Tribolium castaneum: one gene and its partners. The protein of the gene in region 3 purifies or fractionates together with the protein of the main gene of each other region. This does not show direct contact. Links are inferred from orthologs where the notes say so. Each region holds a gene or a part of one and is shown on either strand. Other genes may lie near its edges.

Region 1 (5,738 bases), on a different chromosome or scaffold from region 3:
TTACAAACCTCTTATCGAGTTGCGCTTTTTTATCAATCAATTCTTTAACGAGTGAGGAAAATTTTTCATGCGATTTCGAAAGATTGGTTTTGGCTTCGTTTAAATCGCGCATTAGTGTCTTGATACGTTGCTCTTGTTTCTTGCGCTCGTTGCTGGTCACTGTGATTTTTCTTATAATCGGAGTCAGTGTTTGATACTTGCTTTTTATCTGCAAACTTTTAAGCGGCGCTGCTACTTCATGAACACAACGAAAAGTACAAGCAGAAATTGCTCTTTATCAGTATTTAATCGAATACATAAGTACTATTACAACTTACAAATTTAATTAATTATAAGAGTAAAAAAATATTTAATAATGTCGAGCTTGGTTCTAAAATTCAGTTGGTGACAATGAATTGTGGACAGGACATGGAAAACATTCACAAATTGCCAACCTAATTTTAGAATCGCAGCGCATTTTACTTCAATATTTTCTAACAAAAAAAAAAAACAAATGAAAAGATAAGATGGGTCAACTATTATAGAGATATCTAAAAACTGATTACGGAAAAAAGTTGTTATCGGCTTTATAACATCCAAGTATTCGTTACAAATGAGTATAATAGCAAAAATTATTTAGATAAGAAGGAAGCAATGAAAATAAGACGACAAAGTTCTTGATAACAATACTCTTGTTATACCGAACTAACTAATAATAAATTCTAATTTAATATTTCAGCCTTTTTTATTGGACAATAAAATTGCTTATACGAATACGAGAAAAAAATGGCAAGATATTGTTCAAAAGTTTTATTGTGTGGAGATGAGATTTTTTTTGTTATAATTTTTTTTCCAAAAGTAATAAAAAAACTGTAAAGATTTAATGTTATTTATTGAAAAGAATTAGTAAAAAAACAGTGTTTTAATTTTTTCGAATATGTTTGAACGAACTTATTTCGCATGAACTCGCTAAAAATTAAGTAACAAACACAACTTTGTCCAGTAAAAATTTCGAACAACATCAAAACATCAAATAAATAACAATAGACATGCAAAAAAAACACAACAAAAGCAATACCTTCCATTCCTCTGCATCTTGATCTCCTTGAGCGTCTTCTGCAACGTTGTAAGTTCATTGATGATCCGTTTCCTCTTCTCACTGTCACTTCTTTCCCCATTTGTCTGTGGTTTTACCTCAACTTGCACCTTTTCCGGCGTCACAGTAACTTCAACTGACGCCTTTGGCACACATTCACTTGCAACTTTCGCCGGTTCAGTCTTTTGCACGTTAATTTTCCGTGCCTTTTTCGTCTTTTCCGCATTTCTGAGCCGCTTAAGCAACTGCTGATATTCAAGCTGTTGCGACTTTGGTAGCAATTTAACGGCGGACTTTTCCAAGATACTCTTATCGTTATTGACGATTTTAAACCGTTTTTTATTCTCCGATTCAAATTTGGCTCTTTGCTCTTTGAGAAATTTCTCAACATTGCTCGAAATCACATTCAAGTCGGTTTTTTTTGGCGCTTGTGGAGCACTTGGTTTCGGTTCAATTTCCTCGTCACTGTCCGAATCACTCACTTTGATTATCAACGGTTTAACTAATGGTTTAGTCACTGTGATTTTTTTCGTGGTTTTAAAGTTATTTATTGGCCGTTTTGGAAGCGCAGTTACTACTGGTTTCGGAAGTGGTGGAGGAAGTGGTTTAGTGGTTACACTTTTCTCAGTGATATTTTTCGCAAGGCCCGCCAACAGGGAGGCCCTTAACACGTCCTCATCCTCCTCTAGGTCAATAACCGGGTTTTTTTCCTCCGTTTTTTTCTCATCTTTCGGCGTATCATTCTCTTTATTTTCGAGCGTTTCTTCCTTTTTCCGCTTCCGGCGTTGGAATTTGTTCAAAATCGCGGTCTTTAGCGCTTCCAAACGCAAATTCTCCAGTTCAGTATCGTCCATTTTATCTGAGGTGTCTTCGTTTTTTTGGGGGGGCTCGGGGGCGCTCGCGGCCAGGCCCCCCATGGCTTTGAGTCGTGTCTCGAGGGGTTTTTTGAGCCCCTCATCACTACCACTGATGTGGATCGCCTCTTTTAACTTGCCCTTGAGATCTTGAGGAGGTGACACATCACTGTCACTGTCGTCAGACGACGGTATTCGGCGCTTTTTGCGCCGTTTTTGGTGCTTTGATTTACGGTGCAGTAGCTTTTTAGTTTTGATCTTGTCTGATTCACTATCGCTACTTAAAGGGGGTGCACGTAAATGTTGGTTAGTTGAAGCAAACTTACCAAAAGTTGAATCGATGATGGAATTATCGGAAATGGCTTCGAAATCATCATCGTCAACTATTTCACCGTCTTCTAACTGATCACTTGGGCTCGGATCGCCCATTTTTACGTATTTTATTGATTTTTTTGAGAAAGAACAAAGGTTTCTCACAAATGGCGTGTCAAATGACAATGACAGGCAAGGGCGGCGCTGATAACGCTACCAAATGTCCCTAAAATGCGAAGCTAATGTGTGTGTATTCTATGGCTAATTTACACAAAATGACCAACAAACGGCCTGGAATTTACGCCCTTTATTCAGACAAGCGTTTACTACCACAAAACAGTCAAGAAATGACTTATTCTTCACACAAGGCACTGAAAATCAAGCGCCGTTAGTGGTGCCAACCTAGTGAATTTTCCCAATTTTGGGGAATTCTTTTAAAGTTTTTTTTTAAATAATTTTGAAAAATTCTAAGTAAAACTATAACTTTTTGAAAAAGACATCTAAAAGATAACTTGAAGAATGTAGAAGAAGCAGCAACATGACAAAAAAAAAACACATTATTTTACGATTTTTTATTCATATCAAAAAAATATTCTCATCACAATAATAAAATAAACTATTTCTCAATAAATTGGTTCCGGCTGTTGCGTCATTAATAACCCGAAACGTTTTTTGATTGTGATTCGCTCACGTGAGTATTTGTCCTCGGGTGAAAAACGTGCTAAAACAATAATGAGTTCACGTAAACCCCCCAAAATTCACGAATTGTTACCTGGATGTGCCGAAAGTGTGGGTTTTCCTGAAGGGTCAAATTTCTACAAAAAAACTCATTTATCACAATATTTAAGACAGTAAAGTAACACTCACATTTAAGGTGTAAACCCGGTTACCGTCTTTATCCAAATAATACATTAAGTACATCTTGAATGAAGAAAATTCCCACAAAAAAACGATTTTTTTCGCTTCACAACAAATGTGGTTTAAGGTTAGTTTTGGTTACCAATATGACGCCGCATGGTGACATAACACAAAAGTTACTAAAGTTAGGTTATTGTAGGTTAGATTTCTGGCGCACTTTTCTAATCAAACATAATTATGGAAATTGCATCGCATTTGAACGATTCCAAGGTAGTATTTAAGAAGGATTTTTCGGAATATGGACAAATACTAAACATTGAATTCTCCCCTTTTATTCTTTCCCAAGATTTGATTTTAATTGGGTTCGAAAGTAAAGTAGTCCTGGGGCATTTAAAGATAGATGAGGTATGTTTTGTAACAATAGAATGATGTTTGATTTATTAAAATTGTAGGAACAATCGCTGGAACTCGATATTTTGGCAGAATTCACTCTTAAATCACGCTGCTGTTCCTTAACATTTTCCCCAGAAACATCAACCAGCATTTTACCAAATAATATAATTTTCGCAGCGGCCTGCAAAGACTACAAGGTGCGAGTGTTTCGGAGTGATTTAAGGGGCTCTGATGTGTGTAAGGTTCGTAAATAAATAAATAAATTGATTTGAATTGGCATAAGAGTAGGCTGTGATTAGTAAATAAAAACCTTTTTTTTTAATTATTTTTTTGACTAGGTCTTAAGTGAGCACAACAGTTACATAAACGACGTTAAATTCGACCCTGACAATAATTTTCTGGTGTCAGTGAGTGACGACAACACTGCCAAACTATGGGACACCACCGATTTTCAATGTGTGGTGACACTGCAACTGACGTCACCTGGAATGTCAGTATGTTGGCACAAAGACGACGGTTCAAAATTACTCATTGCTGAAAAAATCGGTTTAATTCGTTTCTACAACGTTGAGACGCAAAATCCAATTCTATCGCTTGATTATGGGAAGCCCCTAGCTTGTGCCCATTGGGCGCCGTCCGATTCGCAATTAGTGGCATCATTGCAGTTAGGGGAATTACTCATTTGGGATTTGTCAAAGCCGTGCGTTCCGGCGAGTAATACTCTTGTTTTTACCGAAGCTGGAGGTTTTGTTAGGTTTAATTCATTTGGGAATTTGGTGGCGGCGATTAATAGTCTAGATAGTACGTTGAAAATTGTTGATTGTCAGATTAATCAAATGAAGTTGTCAGTTCCTGTCACACTTCCGAGTAATGTTAGTTGGCATTGCCGATATCCAATTGTTTGCGTTGGCGATTATATGACGTTGACTTTTTGGAAAGTTGTCTCAAAATAAACATATTTCACATAATTCTGTGTTTTATTTAATTTTTTTCTCCGGAACTTCTTACCTGAGTTCTTACACACTTTTCATGAGTATTTTGATTTCAGAAAAAATACAAAAAATTTTATTACATATACACTCAATCATGGAGGGTTGTATATGTATGTTGGTAATCTTTTTTAAATAGTACTAGAATCAAAAAAATCGATGTTCTTTTAACTGTCATTGAAATAAATGTGTTATAATCATTATTTGATCAATATTTTCAAAAAATCTTAGTAGCCTTGCAATTTAACAATTGACAATGCTGAAAATTTTAGTACTTCAAACATTTGTTTATTAAATTAAAAAAAATCACTTACTACAAAAGGTTCAAGAGATGATATTTTGAATGAAAATTTGCATAAAAATTAACATACACATTTTTTTTAAATAAAAAAACGCAATTTTGAGTTTTTTTTAATATTTACTTAATACAATTTGTTTCCTCTGTGTAACTGTGCTGTGCTACAAATAATAGGAAATACGATAACACAGTTATCGCACAAACATTGTTAATGATACGAAAATGGAGCATCCGTGATTTTTTTCCCCAAACAAGTGACATAACCTATCACTACCAGCCTCATACTTATTCCAAAACCCTTCCAACGTTTTTTCCCAACAATTATCGGTCCCCACATCTGAATTAATAATAATTTTCCCGCCTCACGTATCCATAAACACTCCAAGTCATTTATTGTGTAACTAAGTATATTATTGGTTCATAAAAGAAATGTAACAAAATGGTTTAGACTCCTCGTGATTGGTCGCGCCAACGCGCCAACTTCAAACCCGACCAATCCCCGACGCCCATTCTCTCCTATAGACCGCATAAGTGGCGTGGGGTCCAAATACGAACGAAGCCGTGTGTTCAGTTTGTTGGTAGAATCAGGTAAGAAATTTTTATATTTTTGCATGTACATATTGTCATTGGATCATATTTATTGTACGGGTAGTTTCATCCATTTCGCCCCCGTTTTATGCACGGCAGCCGCCCTTGAGCCTTTGCAACCAAACAAACTCAAAGCGACCGAAACCTCGCTACTGTGCATATAACGGACAGCAAATGGCTGCCATAAGGATAGCATTGGGTCGCCTATCCGCACGGTTTTTATTTTTTTTCTCCTCAGAGGGCTGTCGCACCCCCGTGCCGATTTTTTTACACAATCGGCGATTTTTTACCGATTTTTGCCCAAAATCGCAGCCTCCTTCGACCAGCCCTTGGCGCAAAAACCCGATTTGTTTTGACACGGCTTTGTTCAT
Region 2 (5,059 bases), on a different chromosome or scaffold from region 3:
CCACATGTTTAGGGACCAATTCACCAAATATTTCCTCTTGTCTGAGAGTAATTAAACCGCACAGTTAATTAATCAATTGTGATTGGTTCATTTTTTGCAGATGTTGATATCACAGACGACGTGATCAGTTTGTTCAAGGTCATTAATTATTTGGATTCGCAGATGAGTGAGATTTTCGCGTACACGTTCGAACGAGAGTTGGCACTGCTGAAGTCGCCTGATGTCGTCATGGGGGCTCTCCTTGAGCAGATCCAGCGCGAGATGGACACCGAGGTTCGTACTTTTTTTATGTTAAAAAAATATTCTGGGGCTTTTGAGCCCTAAAAAACGTTTTACAATTTATTATCTGGTACTTTTACCGTGGCGCCTGGCGAACCATTCTTATATTTATATCACAGAAAATTTTAATGACAGCTGCTTCTGTTGATATCTGCTCAAATCATTTACGGAAAACTCTTGAAGAATTTTAAAATTATTTAAAGCACTGCAATTTATTGTAGTTTTTGAGCTTTCGCGTATTTTTTCGATCTCGCGTAAATAGTTAAGCAAAAACCGCCCGATTTGTGCTCTAGTTCACCGAGCACGTGGCCGAGATGGTGCGCGATTGCACCGATTTGTACCAATCCATCCACAAAATCCTCGAATTGCTCCGAATCGAGTACCAAATCCAGCCAGAGGAGCCCATCGACAGCGTTCAAGCCTCAATAAACCACATTTTCACCTCGCAGTTGGGTGTTTCGATGGTTACAGGATGTCTCCGACAGCAGATCCAAGTCCGGTTCACTATCTGTCGCAGTCTTTTGCTTATTAGTAACATTTTGCTCGAGCGAGGCGAACTCGATTGGAACGTTTTAGAGGCGATTAGGTCGGTTTGTAGTCCCGAGATCGTGGTTTTGACTCAGGCCAATTTCGTGATGGTTTGGCTGTCGGGTTTGTCCGCTTTGCAGTATTTGCCAACGTAAGCGACAGTTAACTGAGTCAGGAGGGATAATGATTTGGGGGTTTTAGCGAGTCGACGTTGCAGAGACTGTCGTCGTTGAGGTTGAGTCCTGTTTTTAATCTCAGGACGAATGCGATTAGCTCGATTTCGTTGTTGGAGCTTTTTGCGGGGAGTACAGGGGGGTATGAGGCACGGAAGGCCTTTGCGAGGTTGAGGCACGATGAGGAGAGTCTGGCGCATTGGCATTTGGCGCTTTTGCCGTATCTTAATTGCCTCTTCCACATCATGTATCCTTTTTTTATTTTTTTAAGTACAGGAAAATTCGCCACTAATAAAAAGCAGTTTTTGAATATTTTGTTGAATTAAAAAAGTGACGTTATTATTGCATTTTTCGACCATATTTTTGAACATTTCTCAGGTTTTTTCGGCACATTTCGCTAAAACAGGCCGTCACAGGTAAGCTTAAAAATCACTAAATTGTTACTGCATTGTTTCTTCGGATGATTTTGTCAAATTGCTAAATTAGGTAAAGCCTTTTTCAAACGTTTAAGTATTTTTTCAAATTTAAAACCTGTTTCTTGTTCGACCTAATGATATATTTTTGAGCGCTTTACTACGTTTTTTGAGTCCGAAATATATTTTTTTAATATTTTATTAGGTAAGTACGGTTTTGATTTCGCTAAAACAGTTTAAATCAAGTCTAAAAGTTTCATATTTTCTTTTTTTCGGACGTTTAGGAGGGTTTTAAGTTAAAAACATTTTTTTATGGAACAATTTTATTAAAACTGGTTGAAAAATCGCCGAATTAGACGTTTTTTTCGAACGTTTAGGTAGGTTTTGTGTTCAAAACAATTTTTTTATGGAAAAATTTTGATAAAACTGGTTGAAACATCGCCGAGCTAGACGTTTTTTTGGACGTTTAGGAAGATTTTGTGTTGAAAACAATTTTTTTTGGAAAAATTTTAATATTACTGGTTGAAAAATCGCCGAATTAGACGTTTTTTCGGACGTTTAGGAAGGTTTTGTGTTAAAAATATTTTTTTTTTGGAAAAATTTTAATATAACTGGTTGAAAACTCGCCGAATTAGAGGTTTATTTCGCTCGATTTCAGCGAAATTTTGCAAAAAACAAGTCGAAACATCACACAATTCGGTTGAAAATGGTGTTATTTTTGCCTTTTGTAACCTTTGTAATAGTTTTTTTCTCCCATTTGGATGTTAATTCGTCTTTTTGAAATAAAAAAATTGCTGTTAGCGCAGCGTTTAATTATTTGAAAATTGATATTTGCACTATTTTCCGTCAGAAAAGCTCAATTATTTCGCACAATTTTCTCTCAAAACTGAGGCGAATTTTTTTGTTTTACTTTTGTGCTAATTTTGTCAAAAATAAGCCGAACTTGTACCTTAAAAAAGAATTCAAAGAGAAAACGGCATAATTCCCGATATTTGCACAAATAAAACACTAGTTATGCCCTCTACGCTTTCTAATTGGTCCGTTTGTTAGTTCGCACTGAATGGCCCACCACTATCCAATGACAAACACCTTAATCGTGTTGCAATTTTTTGTGCGTCCGATAAACAAGGAGCTCGACAATTACTTCCTTTTTATTGGCCAATTACCGATTCACGGAACAAATGAGGCGATAAACCGGCTTTAGGGCTGCCCCGCCCACAAAATCAGTATTTCGGCTTCATTGCAGCGTTGTTTACGCACACATGACGGACGGGACAGAAAAATCCTGTGAATGAAAATAACTCTAAAATATTTATTCCGACAGGTTTTATTTATTAAAGACTTTAACAACAACAAAATTAGGCAGTGGAAATTAAACATTATTGGTCTTGTTTAGCCCCGTGAGATATAAAAGCATTTGTTTGCAATACCGGACGGGACAGCAAAATTTACGAAAAAAATACTACTACCAGAAACTGAAAAACACTCTTCGTCAGTTGTTGAATTATCAAATTAATTAGTTCAATTTAAATAATCATCCTTAATTAATTCTTTTGTCGTAAAATACATTTCATAAAACCGAATAGTGTATTTTGAAAGAAACTTCACAAACTAAAATTATTTTGATTGGTTAACACGTTTTTAAAAACTAGTAACTTAGATTTTGGCTTTTCCTTGCGTCTTACCGTATTTTTCATGGGAAATTTAGTTATTTCCAATTTTTTTATTTAATGATTGCGTATAGTGCCTTAACTAAGTACAGTTGGCCGATCAGTGGCAGCCCGATTTTGGCCGAATGGCTGCTCAGTTGTGGCCAACACTTATGGCTGCAGCAGTACATCCGCTACATAAGCTCGTGGTGCGAATGGAATAGTTGCACACGTAATTACCCAACCAATTAAGCGCCCTCAACTAATTAATTATTATAGATAGCTTCCTTCTCGCCGCGTCTTTACTAACCACTGGTGAACCGTACAAAGCGCAAGAACTGTTCGAAAATGCGGCCAAGGGTATTTTCACGGACCAATTTTTGGCCCAACGCATCCTAACCCCTGACCACAACCAAACCAAAGCCTACATTAACTACTACTTGAAAGTGATTCATTTGTTCGAATTGCACAAATCGTACGATTGTGCGATCGCTTTGGCCAATAAGGCGCTCAGTGTCACCTCACCGGACGACCCTTTGACCGTAAGTGCCATTTGAGGCAAAGGGCGCCACTAGTGTTACTTCTAGGCCACTTTGTACTCCATCAAATTCAAGCACCATTTGGCTCTGAAAAACTACCAAAGTGCGTATGACTCGCTCAATGCCAACCCGGATTCCGACAGACGCAAGGACAATTTGCGCGACTTGGTGAAAAAATTGCTGGATGAGAAGAAGTTGGACGTTTTGATGGGTTTCACGTACAGCGGGATGGAGGAGCTATTTTGTGATATTGTCTCGACGAGGGCGCGCGCTGCCGACCCCTCGAATAATATTTACTACGATTTTTTGTACGCTTATCAAATTAAAAGAGGGACCACTTTTTTGCGGGCCGGTACTGGATTATTTTCTGGTCGATTTGTTGTGATTGGTTGGTTGTAGCCGCCTCTGTGATGTATGAACAAGCCTTCCGACTCAGCCAATACAGTGATCCTGACTCGTTGGAAAAACAAGTCAAGTGTTACCTTGCTGCGAAAAACGCCCTAGCCTTGTGTGAGCCTCAATACGCTTACATCGTAATGCCCGTGGAACAAATCGAGGATAAAACCATCACTTTACCCACTTTTGCCGGCTCGGATGACGTAAGTAGCCTAGCATTTGAGGCGTGCCTCACTCAAAATTTCAACAGGAGCCTGAAGAAATCATAGTACGCAAACAAGTGAACATCATCAACCTTGAAATAATGTCCAAGGACTTGGCGTTCGCCAGCGCCAAGCTCAAGTTAATTCGCTTCAACCCGCGCAACTACTTCGAAATAACAAGTGAGGCAGCCGTGAGGCACTTTTAGGTCTTAACTTTGGTTTTAGATCCGCACGAATTGGTGATTTTGTTGACTAGTGCCGGTTTGTTTAAGACGGCGTTGACAATTTCGAGGACTTTTGACGTTTCTTACAGGATAGTGTTTGAGGCACTTACGAAAAAATGCGCGTCGTTGTCCAAACAGAACGAACCGGTGACTTGGAAGTGGCTGATTGAGAACAATTTGCAAGGTTTGAGTGTGGTTTTGGGGGTTGGGTGTGATAATTGAGGGTTTTAGATTTGCCAGTTGGGACGAAAAGTGCGTCGGAGGCGGCGTGGAGCCTCCTGCAGGAGTGTGTGGAGGAGTACGAGGAGGAGAAAATGTCCGTTATTCATAAAATCGTGTGTAAGCAGGTTATTAAGATGAATCTGTGGATACCGCAGTGGCTGCTGTCGTCCTATAAGGTGAGGATTTGAATTCGAATTTCACGATTTTTTTGAATCTTTATAAAATCTGCGATTTCGCTTTTAAGTTGATCTGAATCATATTTTATGAATTTTGATTTGAGAATAATTTGAGTTCGCAATATCGTATTTTTGGGCGTTGCAGAAGCGCAACCCCTCCGAGCTCTTCCGCCTCTTGTACACGTCTGGCCGGCTGGAGGAAGCCGCCGAAATCGCCTCCGAGTACATGATGGCGGCCTTGGGCTACGGTAAGGAAT
Region 3 (6,554 bases):
TTTGCGAGCGGGAGAACCGGCGGTGCCCGGCACCGAGAGTTGCTTTTTGACGGCAGGAGGAGTCGACGAGAGCTTGTTAAAAGGGCGGACGGGCTGAATAGGGGCTGTCCGGGAACCCATCGAACGGGGCAAGGTTTGGCTTTTGGCCAGGGTCGCGTTCGGGGGGCGCTTACTGGCCACGGAGAGTTTCTTGCCGGAAGCTAGGAACAAAGAGAAATAGTGACACGCAGTTGGTGGCTCACAAACAAAAATATACACAGGGGTGATGAAAAAGTAGAACTCATTGTTTTTAAAAATAATAATAATTAAAATTAAAATATAAATTTCTTTCAATCAAAGAATCGGAATCAGGTTACGCAGTTTTTACACAGTGGCGAATATAAACCCTTATTAAATATAAAAGGAAACATTTTCTTCAACTTTAAAACAATACAAACCTAGAGAGAGGAAGCATAGAGGCCGAAAATGCGGATTATCATCAACATTTAAACTAAACAGAAATAATGGTCCTATAAATAATTAACATATTGAGCACCATGACACAGAACAAATTAATATAAAAATTGTACTATATTAATTAATTAATTAAATTAAATTAAATTTGCTACAAAAACGACGGTGACGGTGTACAAATTTAAGATGTTTTTCAAAAATTCTTGAACGTCTTTTAGAGCCTGAACCGTTAAAGACAGTAGTGTTATTCTGTCGTTGACTTGAAAATTTAGTTCTCTATATTTGTTTTTTTATATAGATATTTTTATGAGGTGTACCGTTTTCGCAGCGTTTTTAAAAAAGAAGATATTTACAAGGTTTTCATTTACTTTGCTCTACTTTGAACCCTTCTGTCTTAACATATCGTTAAAAGTATGCTTCTCTACGTGAATGCAATTTTATTAAATTTTATTACTGTTGAATAAATTAAACAAAGTTGAGACTTGGAGTGGGTTCTTGATCACTAGCTGGTTTACTTGTCTGTAGGACTTTGCATAAACAATTCTCTTATTTTGAACTATGTACTCAAAAAAAGTCAAAAAAGAATCGTATGGTCTCAAGTTACGAAAAAATACATACCTATTGTAATTATAATAATCACATTTTAGTTCAATATAATTTCACTTTTATAAACATAATAAAACTGCATCTAAGATAATAAAATAATTTTATCATTATTTAGACTGTTATAGTATAAAAAATTTTGGTAATTGCAGCAAATATACACTTAGGTATGCACTATCCAAATTTGTATGTGATTCAGGATAAGACTTCTGTACCCACTGGCGAATGAGATGTTTTAAAATTTGCTATTTACTTTACCAATTTGCAAACAAGAGACAAAGGTTTTTGAAGAATCAAGGTTAGATTCGCCACTGTCTGAATCATAAAAGCGATAAACTCATAATCTAGTTGTTAATTGAGGCTTGAGGCTGTTACTGCTCAAAATACTGTGTCGATAATGATTGCTGGGATTACATAATCTATGAGTTAATTACTAGGGATTATGGTAAGAAATCGAGCAACGCGTTCTACTATTAGAAGCCGATGTACTACGAGTTACACCAATGGAAGCTGAAATACTGAAAATAAGAAGAATACCTTTGTTAAAACAAAGTTTGGGAGTAGGAATATTGGTAGTGTAGCTAAGTTTAGGAGCCTCTTTTGGTTCTTTTTGAACATCCTGTCGATGTAACATATCCATGCTTTCTATAAACAGAAACAACAACAAAGACGTAAATACCAAACCAAAATGAGCAAATCAATCCAGTCCAAATTACCCAAAAACTGCAGCCTGTCCTTGGCCATGGCAAGATTGGTTTTCATTTTTTCGTGGAGGCGCTGGGCCCGCTCCCACACCTCGCCCCGGCCGCCCCAGCACTGCACCGCGATCCCCAGTTCCAGCTCCGTGATGCCTTTCCTATACAACTCGATGGCCAAGTCCTTCTGACCTAGAAACGACCATCAATTATTCACCGTGCCTCCAGACCGGGCACCGACCTTCGTTCTCTTCATCGATCTTGAGCGCCTTGGAGATGTACTCGAAGGCGCGGCGGTGGTGGTGCTTCTGCTTGGCCAGAAGGGGGTCCCCGGGCCCCGGCCCTGTGACCCTCTGGACGTGCGTCATTTCGGTGATCTCTTCAATGACACAAGTCGCAACTTGTTGGTCACTCTCACCACATTCAAACTGACGTTTCTTTACTAGGTAATTTGAGGAACTACAATACACGAAACGAAGGATAACAAAGATTTGGTAGAGCAAAGTGCGCAAAATGTTGAACAGAAAAATAATCGGGAAGGAAACGATGCATAGGTTTCGCTTGTGGACAGAGGTCTCTGAGTACGACGTAAACATCACATCGCTTCTCGAAATGTCGGGGTCACTTTTTCTTGATTTTTTGCCAGGTGATTTCGTTTGGGTTTTACGCACCATCCGGATGCCATCACACTCACGCTGTTACAGGGCTGCCAACTTTTTTTTTCATAATATTCAGCCACTTCGTTCCACAACGGAACATCGAGGAGTAAAAAATCACCGGAACCAAATATGATAACAACCAGGTGTTTCTCAGTCTCGTAAATAGATAAAACCTGTGATAAAACAAAAAATCACGCTGCTTTCCGGATAGGATTCCATGAACATAGAACCACATGCTACATGTGCAATGCGCGCATGTCATCTGTATCTGACATAAGTGGTCAACATTGTTATTACTTTTTAAATTTGAATATTTGTAATAAAGTCAGAATGGATAGAAGCTTCAACTCATCTTTCTCCACCAGAAGCCCGTTTTCTCCCCGTTCTCGGCAAAATCTCAACGCCAAGAAAATCATTCCGCCTAATTTCCGAAAATCATCGTAAGTTGACGATTCTAACCTCACTCTCATACTTACCGGTCTTTTAGCCGTTTCAGTGTCTCAGGAAAATCAACCCAATCGGTACAAATAATACTATCAACACCTTACAACTACGTTGAACGTTTCGGCCAAACCTTCCCCGTCCTAATAACAGAAGCCCTCACATTTGCCGACAGTAAGCCACCACTATAATTTCCCACGAATTTATTTTTTTCTTTAAGGAAACACCGTGGTATCGGCCCGAATCTCGAAACTGGGCTACCTGTGGGTGGTCTGCGGCCGCCGCTTGCTGATCTGGCAGTACCGCCAAAGCCCCGTGTTGCTCGACACCCCCTCGAAAAAGACAAGTTTACTAAACCAGTGCTTTGAACTGCAACTCCCGCAAAGCGACTTGGCGCACAGAGCTGAACTGGTCTCGGTTTTCGTCAATTCAGACTCGAACACACCTTCTTGTATCGCAGTCTCGCCGGAAGGTGTGGTGCGCTACTGGCCGGCAATTGTCCATGAAGGAATCTCCGTGGAACAGCACGTCAGTCTACAAGGCCAGGAATGCGACAGTTTGACCGATGTCGAGGGCCTTGGGTGCATTCTGGCCACCACAACGTGCACCGTTTTGTTGCTCCAGCCACAGCTAAGTGGCGGGAGGCACAGTTTGAAATGCAAAACACTTAAAATACCAACTGGGTGGTTGGGGGGCATTAGCAAGAGAATGTCGAGTCTGATTTTTGGGCCAATCGCGAGCGAAACCTCGGCCGAAAGTGTGAGTAGTTCTGGGCCTGAGAGCGAAAACAGCCTAAGTGCATTTTTACCAAAAAATTAATTATCATTAAAAGTGATATTGAACAAGCTTTTTGTTTAAAACAAAGTATTAAGTCAAATTTTTTAAAACACAGTGTCTATGTGGGAAAATAATTTTAATTTTTTCACCTGTGACGACAGCAAATTTTATTAGAAATTAATTAGAACCTTTTTTAAGGTATATTGAAATTGAAGACTCTTTGGACTTTGGTGTCATCACCTCCTGTTGCAAGAAAAAAATGTGCAGTTGGAAGCCAATTTAAATTAACTAGTTCACAGTGTTTTGTTTTTTACCAATACATGAAGCCAATGTGTGACGTCAAGTTTTTTGCAACAACTAAAATGTTACAGACTGCTTTTTTTGTACTATCAGGGTCAGTTTATCCTTATGTAGTAAACGATTAACATATTTTTATCCCAAAAACCTTAATACGTCTCTTCATAAGACTTTAAATCTTGATGGATATGTTCACGATGTTCATTGCTTAAGCTTCCCAGGTTTTGTTAGGATAATAATTAAACACAAACATAGAAATTTACATTCACCTGATGATGTTTTAAAGCAAATAAAATATTTATCAATTTGTTAGTTACGTCAATAACGAATGCCAAAGACACCAAAGATAAGACTGATTAAAAAAATAAATAAAAATGACATATTGTTTCTTTTTTTGCATTGTTTAGTGTCAGTTTCTTTTATTGTAACCAGCAGTAAATCTTTGGTATACCTCTTTTCATAAGACTTTAAATCTTGATGAAAGCGTTTACCATTTGATCGCTTAAGTTTCCCAGGTTTTATTAGGATAATTTTCTCACAAACAAATCAAATGTTATTTGGGCTTAATCGACATTCACTTGACTATACTTTAAAGCAAATAAAATGTTTAATTATTTAGTTATTACAGAAACAAGGAATGTCAAACTAGACACCGGATACGAATTTTCAAAACTTCTAGTGAATATATTAAAAAAAACTAGACGTGATAACAAATGTGACATATATCTTAGTTATCATTGAGAAACAGTACACAAAATCAGTATAAATTATCTCTTAGTAAAAGAAAAAAATTTGTAAACTAGTGGTACCAGAAGTTGTTTGGTTTCAGTTAAGAAAAGCAGAGATAGGAAAAATATATTTTCAAACAACTTTCACAGAAAACTTTAAATGTGTTACTATTACAGAAACCTTCCTTATCTTCAAAATACTGAAGATTTTCGAAAGACTTTCTTATGTAATAAATATATTTAAATTGTTTTAAAAAAACTTTCATTACAAGTTACACCTTGGATTCATTTTATTTAACTTTTTACATATTGAAAAAAACATTGGTTACTAAATGAGAATTTTCGTTTTAAATTGGCATTTTGGACTTAGGCTGTTCTCGCACTCTAATTATTGATTCAATAGTGATTAAAAAAATTCAAACAGGGAATAGTGCGCGTTCTGAGCGTCCCTGGTACAACTAGCGACACCTGGACGGTGTACGTTTTAGCCGACCACAATTTGCAAAAGTGGCAATTGTCCAAAAACGACGAAGAGTTGATATTTGTCACCGAATTGAACCGAATAGTCAGAGATAGTTTCTGTGGTGCCCTGTGGGAGAATTGTGTCGGAGACCAAACCGAAATTGATACCTGGTTACTTGACATACAGTCAGATAAAGACAATGTTATAATACTCGCAGCAGCGGTTAATATTCCTCGGGTACATTACGCGATGATAAGTCTACAGACGAACACAAATCAACCTCCAACAGCCGTTAAAGATTTTCTTTTGTTGAAAATTACGGACTTGTATCGGGAAAACAATCCGGGGGATTCCCTATCGTATCGTTTTCTTTTATGCGGCATTAATGCCTACTTATACAACCAGAAACATATCACCGTTATCAAGCCCCAAGAAGAGCCTGATATTTTAGAGTTCAACACACCTCAAGATTTTTTATTAGCGGGTGCGATCTGTGTCAACACACCTATATTTTTCTCGCGCAATCATGGCTTAGTCGCAGTGGCGAGCAATGATATGTCTAATGACTTAAACCTAAGTCTCACAGGCGCTAACAGTTTCGTGGAGACGTCGTTTAATGATAACGTGGTGGTTAATAACCTGTCCATTTACAACATGGACCCTGAGGAGATTTCCATTGCTTACAAAGACACAGTTAGTCAATTAAAGGCCGCTTTTATCTACCGGATACAAAACCAGGAGCAAGCCTGCAAGGAAATCATCGACGAGTTGTTCCCTCCTGACGCGTCCAAACTCCCAGGAATCGACTCATTACTGGATAAAGTCGTAATAATGATGGGCAAGGACTTAATCGATGACACCCCAGCCGGTGATCCCAGATGGTCAAAGGACCATCAAGTCGGGCTTGGCAGCTCACACTCGATGCAAGTCCTCGACCAATTAAAAAACAAACAAAAAGCACTCTCACTATTCATAAAATTCCTCAAAGAGTCAGGACTGTGGGCGCAATTGTCCGCATCCACAATTCGCAACACCACCACCGCAACAACGTACATCATGGGCGAAATATCGGAGAAAATCATAGCCGCGATCAGTCTCAAAACTGTCGCCTATAATCAAGTTCTGGAAAAAGCCATCGAAAAAGCGACGGCTGAGTCGGAAACCAAGCCGGAAAACGGGCTAACGTACCAGGATGTGTTTTTCCGGGAGGTCAGTCAGGTGCATAGAGGCATTCAAGAGATGGTGAATTATTGCGAGGACAAGTCACATTCGAACATGGATCCGGCCCAAATTGTTGACATGATCCACGACACCAATGAGATTATTTTGGTGGGTTTTTGCCACAAGAGGGTGACATAATATAATGCTTTATTTAGGGTGCGCTGAAAAGCGTGATCAACTTTAGGGAACAGAATGTGGTGAATTACAAACCGTCGGA

What was found.
Region 1: the proteins of Nup133 (region 3) and Nup37 purify together in Homo sapiens (affinity purification with mass spectrometry; 4 studies listed by BioGRID and IntAct, with this or other methods). This does not show direct contact. The link is inferred for Tribolium castaneum from reciprocal best matches to the Homo sapiens genes NUP133 and NUP37.
Region 2: the proteins of Nup133 (region 3) and Nup160 purify together in Homo sapiens (co-immunoprecipitation; 4 studies listed by BioGRID and IntAct, with this or other methods). This does not show direct contact. The link is inferred for Tribolium castaneum from reciprocal best matches to the Homo sapiens genes NUP133 and NUP160.

What each region holds. Positions count from the first base shown.
Region 1 is NC_087402.1:809,808-815,545, reverse strand, and holds Nup37 (nucleoporin Nup37), read left to right. Parts: upstream 1-3,090; 5' UTR 3,091-3,108; coding exon of another isoform or gene 3,109-3,162; 5' UTR 3,163-3,167; coding exon 3,168-3,226; exon of another isoform or gene 3,227-3,251; intron 3,252-3,298; coding exon 3,299-3,369; intron 3,370-3,445; coding exon 3,446-3,504; intron 3,505-3,551; coding exon 3,552-3,734; intron 3,735-3,830; coding exon 3,831-4,445; 3' UTR 4,446-4,460; downstream 4,461-5,738. Other genes in the region: DNA mismatch repair protein Msh3, read right to left, coding at 9-215, 1,058-2,358; Nop10 (H/ACA ribonucleoprotein complex subunit 3), read right to left, coding at 2,865-2,962, 3,014-3,056, 3,109-3,162. UniProt on the Homo sapiens protein: Component of the Nup107-160 subcomplex of the nuclear pore complex (NPC). The Nup107-160 subcomplex is required for the assembly of a functional NPC.
Region 2 is NC_087395.1:25,109,516-25,114,574, reverse strand, and holds part of Nup160 (nuclear pore complex protein Nup160 homolog), read left to right. Parts: coding exon 1-47; intron 48-100; coding exon 101-273; intron 274-572; coding exon 573-958; intron 959-1,008; coding exon 1,009-1,227; intron 1,228-3,155; coding exon 3,156-3,274; intron 3,275-3,321; coding exon 3,322-3,584; intron 3,585-3,629; coding exon 3,630-3,933; intron 3,934-3,980; coding exon 3,981-4,180; intron 4,181-4,227; coding exon 4,228-4,360; intron 4,361-4,405; coding exon 4,406-4,588; intron 4,589-4,635; coding exon 4,636-4,802; intron 4,803-4,947; coding exon 4,948-5,059. UniProt on the Homo sapiens protein: Functions as a component of the nuclear pore complex (NPC). Involved in poly(A)+ RNA transport.
Region 3 is NC_087396.1:14,344,479-14,351,032, reverse strand, and holds the start of Nup133 (nuclear pore complex protein Nup133), read left to right. Parts: upstream 1-2,650; coding exon 2,651-2,850; intron 2,851-2,897; coding exon 2,898-3,025; intron 3,026-3,071; coding exon 3,072-3,610; intron 3,611-5,077; coding exon 5,078-6,445; intron 6,446-6,492; coding exon 6,493-6,554. Other genes in the region: spas (spastin), read right to left, coding at 1-200, 1,594-1,701, 1,773-1,943, 1,993-2,425. UniProt on the Homo sapiens protein: Involved in poly(A)+ RNA transport. Involved in nephrogenesis.